Linked DNA regions of Drosophila melanogaster. The protein of the gene in region 1 interacts with the protein of each later gene in a pairwise test. Each region holds a gene or a part of one and is shown in the gene's direction. Other genes may lie near its edges.

Region 1 (3,613 bases):
TTAAGATTTCTTAGGATAGGTAAGTGCCATCTCTGATTTGAATCTAGATGCCACGGGGTGAGGGGCACATAACCTCCAGGAGCGAATAAAACGCGCTGTTGCACACGAAAAATAACAAGCTGCGTTGGTCAATTCATCGAATGTCGGTCAGGGCTGCCGCCAGGGAGAAATGGATTGGGCAATGGGCACTGGGCAATGGGAAGCAGGAGCCCGGAGGTGGGTAAGACCACCTGGGCGGAGGTCCATGCAGGGGGCGACATAAAAGTTTCACACCCAGCCATTTGGCCATCAGTGTCCAACAGAGCCGTTGGGCCGGAGTTGCTGTGTTTGAATTAAAAGAAATTAGTTTAGTTATGCCAATGCTCCCCGGGCTACGCTATTGAGTTATCGGCCAGGCAGGAGTGGGACAACTTGGTGCCGGTGACAGGAGGCAACTCGGATGGATAAATTGCAAGTTTTCCCTTACAATTTTGAGTGTGTGCTGCTTGTCCTTGCGTGCCTGGAATTTCAGAAAAAATAAACGCTTTGCGTGTTGCTCTTCTGATGTCGTTTAACCATTATGTGGCATGAATTTGCCATTTTCATTTAAATGCTGCTCTTGGCAGCGAGTCAACTCGTTGGCTTTTTAGCGACTGTTCTGCATTCATAAGCAGCAATCGTATATATCCTGCGGAATGTACTGAAATTGTTGTTGGATTTAGGTCTAAATGTATACAAAACTAGTATTCTTATTTGTTAAGCCCTGAATAAATTTAATTTTTAAATTGCATAAATTGCAGTGCAGTGAAATCATCTGTAATACCCATAGTACCAAAAACCTTATTTTTGTGAATGATTTTGTGTTGCGTACAAAACCTAGATTTCACGCTGATCATTTCCATTCCTAAGTTTTGAAAACAGCAGAGGTGCCATCACCAGTGACGAACCAGATTATGCTCATGCTGGTGCCATCGAAATTGATAGTGGAAATATGTGTGCTGAATGGGATATTTAAGCGCGCCTATCAAACACGCGCACAATAAATCTTCGTCACGGGCCCAAATTGACATTTTACAGCCAAAAACCAGAAACCAAAGCCACGCAGAGGACAAAGTAAGTTCCACTAGTCCGTGTTCCAGCTGCTTTTTTGCTCCTGCGGCTGCCGCTGTTTCGAAAGCCACTGATATTGTTGTCAACGATGATGGCCCAAGGCATCAGCCACATGTGTGGGAGCCAGAGCTCGTCCCTCCTCAAAGTGCCCTCGCACATGGTTGGCAAAGCCAAACCTTTATTGCCACAGCTCCATGGAGCAACAGCGAAAATTTAATATCTGGCTGGGGCGTGGCTCCATTGGAGCTGGTCCGTTGTTGCTGGCGATCAGAACTCATCGCATTATCCTTTGGCCTGGTGGCGGTTACTCGCTCAAAATAATTGCACACTGCACCCCCAATAAGTCTGTTCGCCCGTTTGATACAGAGAAATTTCTATTCGCATTTCCCAAACAAAAGTGGTGTACAAAAATAAAACTGCATATAAGTTTTAAAACATACGCCATACAAAATATATTAAAAAATGTCCGAAAAAATATTGTGCTTTTCCTCGTTCTGGTTTTCAGTGTCTCTGTGAAGTCATCTGTCAGTACCCTAATGCAAAAAGCATGAAACCTCAGGCCAGCTGTCAACACAACAAGCAAATTGCCGCGGAAGCATCAGTTTTGAGGCAACTAGACTTTTTTGATATGGAAAAACCCCTATCAGTAAGAGTCACTAGAACTATAGGTTTATTTTTAAAAATAATCAGCTCCTTTAACACAAAGTTAGACTTCTAAGTAGACAAACAAAATTTAACCCTCGTCTAATTTGTGTTTCTTTTGAGATTGGTTTTGATACTCAGCTTTCCATGCATTATGTCCGAATCTAAAGTCAACTTCATATTTTAGTAGATTTTTGGAACGATACTCATGTACAAATGATACAAACTGCATGAGAAGTGCACGGACTAAAAACTGTATTAATTAAGGGATCCTCCATACGCTTTATAGGTACACCAAACTAATTACAATTTAAGTAACTTTTAAATTACGTCACCAGAATTTCGAGGTCTTTAAAGCAATCAGAATCCTAGATAAGTTTGTCAAAGTTTTCGTGCTATAGTTATTCTCAAAAAAACATGTTTTTGGTGAACATATTGATTGTTTTGGCTCTATGTTTGGTATAATTAAATATTTAGTAATTTTAAATGAAATCTGATTTATTCTCCTGTATTCTAGTTGGTGTTGGTTATAGCTGATCTTCAGGAGGACCATCTAAATGAACACAATCGGTTGAGGGAGAAGCATGGAAGTCCGCCTCTGACCTTGGACGATGAACTCACAAAGGGATGCGAAGAATATGCTAAAGTATTTCGTTGGTTAATAACAATGTTACCTTTTTACACTTTTAATACCCTCGAACAGGTGCTAGCCAATAATGAAAAGTTAGAGCATTCAAGTTCTGCCGGTCAAAACTATGGTGAAAACTTGTGCATGCGGTCACAAACCCCTCTGCAATGTGTTCAAGACTGGTACGACGAAATCGCGGACTACGACTTTGAAAAGCCACAGTTTGCAATGTCAACGGGTCATTTCACCGCCCTCGTTTGGAAGAATGCGAAAAAAATGGGTATTGGGCAAGCCAAGGACAAAAAGGGTTACTACTGGGTGGTAGCAAGATATTATCCACCAGTCAATGTGAACGGGCAGTTCGAAGAAAATGTTCTTCCGCCGATCAAAGGGTAAGCAAATTAATTACATCTGTAGTTTTTTCTTTCATTTTATTTCATTGCAGGGAAGGTGATGAAAATGGTCAAGGCAATTTGAATAGATTTCAAGTTGACAATATTCCCATCATAGTCATGCTTTGGTTATGCTGGCAATTCACAAATTGAGGGTCATTATCACTTTGAAGTTTTTGTGCCGCAGTTCTTGTAAATTTGTAGTTAAGCAATTTGAAAAACCAATTACTGATATTTGAAACTACTCTGTACCCAATAATAAATTTCACTTTTTGGAAGTTTGGTGAATATGCCATTGTTAGTTATGTAAAACCATTCTATCTAGTTGCTTGCAACTTGTAGTTCACCAGGAAGATATTAAAACAGCACACGATATTTAATGATCGAAACTGGGGAGTGCTGCCTTAACACTGGGGTGTTTGGCATTTACAAAAACTATTTAAATGCATGAAATATTTTGAATTAAAAAAAAGAGAGAATGTTATAGTCGAGTTCCCCGACTATCTAATACCCGTTACTCAGCTGCTGGCAGTGAGAACGTGATATTTCATAATTTTCTGGCATATCGATAGATATTGGAGAATTTAATGGGAAGGCGTGGCTGCATGGATGAACAAACTTGTGCTTTAGAATCTGTATGCTTTATCTTAACCTTATAGCTTATATAATTCCTGAAATTTCGACGGTCATACGAACGACCAGACAGACGGACATGATCCTGATCAAGAATAAATATACTTTATACGGTCAGAAACTCTTCCTTCTACATACTTCCTTGACATACTTTTTAACGAATCTAGTGTATTCTACTTAATTCTACGAGTAACGGGTATAAAATGTGTTAAAATTTATATTATTTGAA
Region 2 (3,753 bases), 810 kb from region 1:
GTTACTGGCGCGATGTGCCGCAGGACAAGGAAAATCTCTTAATAGCCCGCAACGACTCTGCGAAAGGCTGCCAGTTCCAATTCGTCGCTGGAAATGCCTTCGATGCTTTCCTCTACTACCTGGAGCACGATTTTGCGGCCACTCCGTTCTCATGCGGGCAGTTGGCGGGGACCAAAAAGGCGGTGGCAAAATACCTGAGTGACAATTCCCTAGAACTGGCCCAGCTGGACCGACTGCAGCGGGAGCGCAACAAGCGTGTTGTGGCCAAGACATTCCACCGAGCCGGCATTGTTGTGCCCTTTGACCAGAAGACAGAAGTGGGATACCGCCCGCTGGCTGTCAGCGATTCCGAACTCAAGAAGATGCTGGCAATGCTTGAGCGGAAGGACGTCGATAATGGAGCCGCCAAGCAGGCGGTTCTGGAGAAGCTGCAGCCGGTGGCCAACGCAGCCAACATAGCAGTTGATGAATCGGACTTTGGAAGCGCCCTGGAACTAGGCATCGATATGTTCTGCAGTGGGCACAAGGAGCTGCACATGCTTGCCTCATCGTTGCTGGTACCCGCCTATTCAATGCTTTCCCGTCCACAGTTCATAGCCATCGCCAAGGCGCACATGGAGCAACGTAGTCGGGAGGACAACCTCAGCATTTTTGATGTACTTAAGTAGTTCGATTTTTATTCCGCAACCGTATCATTTTTACAAGCATTAAAACTAGGAAGTTGAGCACAGCCAAAAGTAGTTTCACATGTACAAATAAGAGCTCTCCTTCCGCGGAGGGATGTAGCTCGAGCTGCAGGCAACGCCCGCGGCTTTAAGTACCTTGATCACTGGCTGCGCAGCTGTGGCGTCGAGGGGCAGCTTGTCGGTGTAAATAACGAAAGAGGTAACAGGCAATTCCATCTGATCCCGCCAACTGGCAACTGCAAAAAAAGGTGAACAGATGGTGAGGTGATTCAACCTTCTCCTTTTCCACTCATCACTCACCGCCTGCTGCAACTCCAGCGATAAAGTTGGGAGCCTCTAGTTCAGTGATATCCTTCTGGTTGGCACCTATGCCGCGGACAACGGCAATGTGATCCCGGTAGAGCTGGATGTCCTCGCTTTTGAACTCGACCTTTGGCTTAAGCGTCAGAGTGATCACTTTCTTGGCAAGCTTCACGTACGGCAGTAGGAGCTCCGCTACCTCGCCGCTACTGGTCAGGTCCTCGTTGATTATGGCCAGCAACTGTTTGGACGAATGACTCCAGTGCAGGGTCGAGTTATTGGCAGGAATGGCGCACACACGCTTTGCATCCTTTTCCAGCAGAGAAGAGGCGAAGTGAGTGACGTTGACGCCCTCAATGACCACCAGCATCTCGCTCTCCACAGGGGCAGCTTCCCCATCGCAATCATCATCAAACTTCAGCTGCAGCCTGCGAATCCAAGAAATTAGGACTACCTACGTAAATAACATTAGATCACGCACTTCTCCACCGGCTTAAGGTTCTCCAATTCATCCTCGTCGCAGTCGTCCCAGAAGGCACGCGACGAGGGTATATTTAGTTCTCCAAATCCTGGACAGCTCATCGTGTCTGTTTTGATTTAATAAAAAAGGTGAAACTAATATGATGAGCCTAATTCCGGTCACTATGTTTTTTTCAAGTCATCAGTGTGACCATGTGCTGAACGCCAAAATAAACGTTTTTCTATTTGAATAAATTACATTTGCAGGTAATATTTAGGAACTTTTAGCGCTTTTTCTGAACTTATTAGGGCTTGGCATGTCAATTAAAGATTTAACAATAAGCTAATTCCAAAATTATGTATTGACAATATTGTTTGGGGGTTTTGAGAATTGATGGAAGTTACGCCCACTGAGCAAGGGAGAAATCAAACTTCAATTGTTAGTTCTAGTCGAATATTAAAACAAATGTGGTTCCAGCTTATTGGTTTTGCCTGATTAAATATTTTCGACTCTTCCGTTTTTTTTTAAGTTGAAACAAAAAATTCCGCACAGGTTAATAAAAATACCAGATCAGCATCGCAGCAGAAGCAGCGCTCAAGCACGGTCATACTGAATACAAAAAATGCAAGATGCAGGTCCATATTCGAATTGGAAAACCACTTTGATCGCTAATTAGAAACAGATTAAGAACCTCACGTCGGTGAAAATATTCCGTAGGGCAGCGCGCTAGGACAGGTCTCAAATTTTTTGGTTAGCAGTGGGAGCAAGCGCGCAAACCAGCGCCATGAGAAAGCGAAGCTCACGTTGTAACTCTGACACTTTCAAGGAGGAGCAGATGGACCACAACGGTGACGACATCAGCCTGCTGCAGCGGCCGCTGCGCACCGCCCACACGGGATTCGAGGAGGCCCGTCGGGCCTATGAGGATGGCACCAGCGAGGTGAGTCTCATCTGAGTGGAGTACGTGACTCAATTGTGGCCCGCAATGGCGGAGGCTCCTGCGCCCCAGTTTGGTGGATCCCCGGATAACAATCAGATTCTCCCACAGGTGCGCCAGCTGCTCAGTCTGGAGTGCAGCCTGATCTACGAGTGCAAGGTGTGCCGCAACATGTTTCGCAGCCTGGCCAATTTCATCAGCCACAAACGCGTCTTTTGCTGCGTCAGCGCTCGTTCGGCAAATGGCAGCGGATACACAGTGAGTGGGCAGTAAAGACAACCCCATTACAAGGTCTCTAATACCATAGGATGTCAACTAATCGCTGTTAATTCTCCCCCAGGATCAGAATTCCACTATGATCATACAAACGGGTGGTGGTCCGTCCCCGCAGGACATTGAACATATGCTACGCAGCAGAAGCACGGGATGCTCGCCTGTTCCCCGCGACGTGCGTCCCTTACGAGGAGGAGGTGGCGGCGGCATAAGGGACCTGAGTGGTGTTATAGAGCGTCTGCGACGGGAAAAGGCTACATCACAGGCCAAGTGCAGCTCGCCCACTGTTCTGCAGCTGGAGTCTGTGCCCAACTCTAGCCAGGCTGTTTATCAGACCATCAAAGTGGACCACGACGACAGCATAAGGACAGAACTGGACGAGGTGCATCGCATGCTTAATCCATCTGAAACCATTGTGGGACCCGACGGCAAGGCCTTGGCAACCGTTAAGCTGGAAAACAATGCAGGCAGCGACTCCGGCGAGCAGTCCATCAGCGACGAAACGGAGCCGAGTATTTTCTGCGAGATCTGTACGACTACCTAACCGAATAGGCCTTGAATACAATTAGTGATAGCTGTGTTTCCTAATCTCGTTCACAGGCAATCTGACGTTTCAGACGCACAAAACGCTTGAGGTGCACATTCAGAAGCATCACTCATCATCGGCGTTTGTGTTTCAGTGCCCAGCCTGTTCGCTGACCTTTCTGCAGGCCGCTGCTGTTATTCGTCATTTGTCGAAGGATCACAAGTAAGTTCAACTTAACCCGACCATAGAATTTTTATATTTTATTATTATAAAATATATGATATTATTCTACTTCAAGGGGACAGGTTCCTTTTTTCTTTCACATGGTCCATTTATATCTGCTTACTGCATACTGCATTCCTTATACATATATGTATATGTCAAAAATCATATTGTTTCCAAGGAAACAATCTAATTTACTTTCTATTTATGTGAATTTTTTAAGCCCTGAATCATAAAAACAGAACAACTAATAATCATAAATAAAAATATAACAGATACATTTTTATAGGGATAGTGGTTTTTCTAAAAATTATACATGCAATGTGTGAACTAATATTAATGTTGGTCC

The links. Proteins that work in one complex are often made in the same cells at the same time.
Region 2: the proteins of CG31482 (region 1) and CG10979 interact in a two-hybrid assay, tested with the Drosophila melanogaster proteins (one large-scale study listed by BioGRID).

What each region holds. Positions count from the first base shown.
Region 1 is NT_033777.3:6,599,162-6,602,774, forward strand, and holds CG31482 (uncharacterized protein), read left to right. Parts: upstream 1-2,080; 5' UTR 2,081-2,148; coding exon 2,149-2,190; intron 2,191-2,248; coding exon 2,249-2,377; intron 2,378-2,434; coding exon 2,435-2,751; intron 2,752-2,804; coding exon 2,805-2,904; 3' UTR 2,905-3,040; downstream 3,041-3,613.
Region 2 is NT_033777.3:5,792,655-5,796,407, forward strand, and holds the start of CG10979 (uncharacterized protein), read left to right. Parts: upstream 1-2,050; 5' UTR 2,051-2,230; coding exon 2,231-2,386; intron 2,387-2,494; coding exon 2,495-2,641; intron 2,642-2,723; coding exon 2,724-3,186; intron 3,187-3,256; coding exon 3,257-3,404; intron 3,405-3,753. Other genes in the region: Hpf1 (histone PARylation factor 1), read left to right, coding at 1-668; PSMG1 (proteasome assembly chaperone 1), read right to left, coding at 744-922, 987-1,414, 1,468-1,568.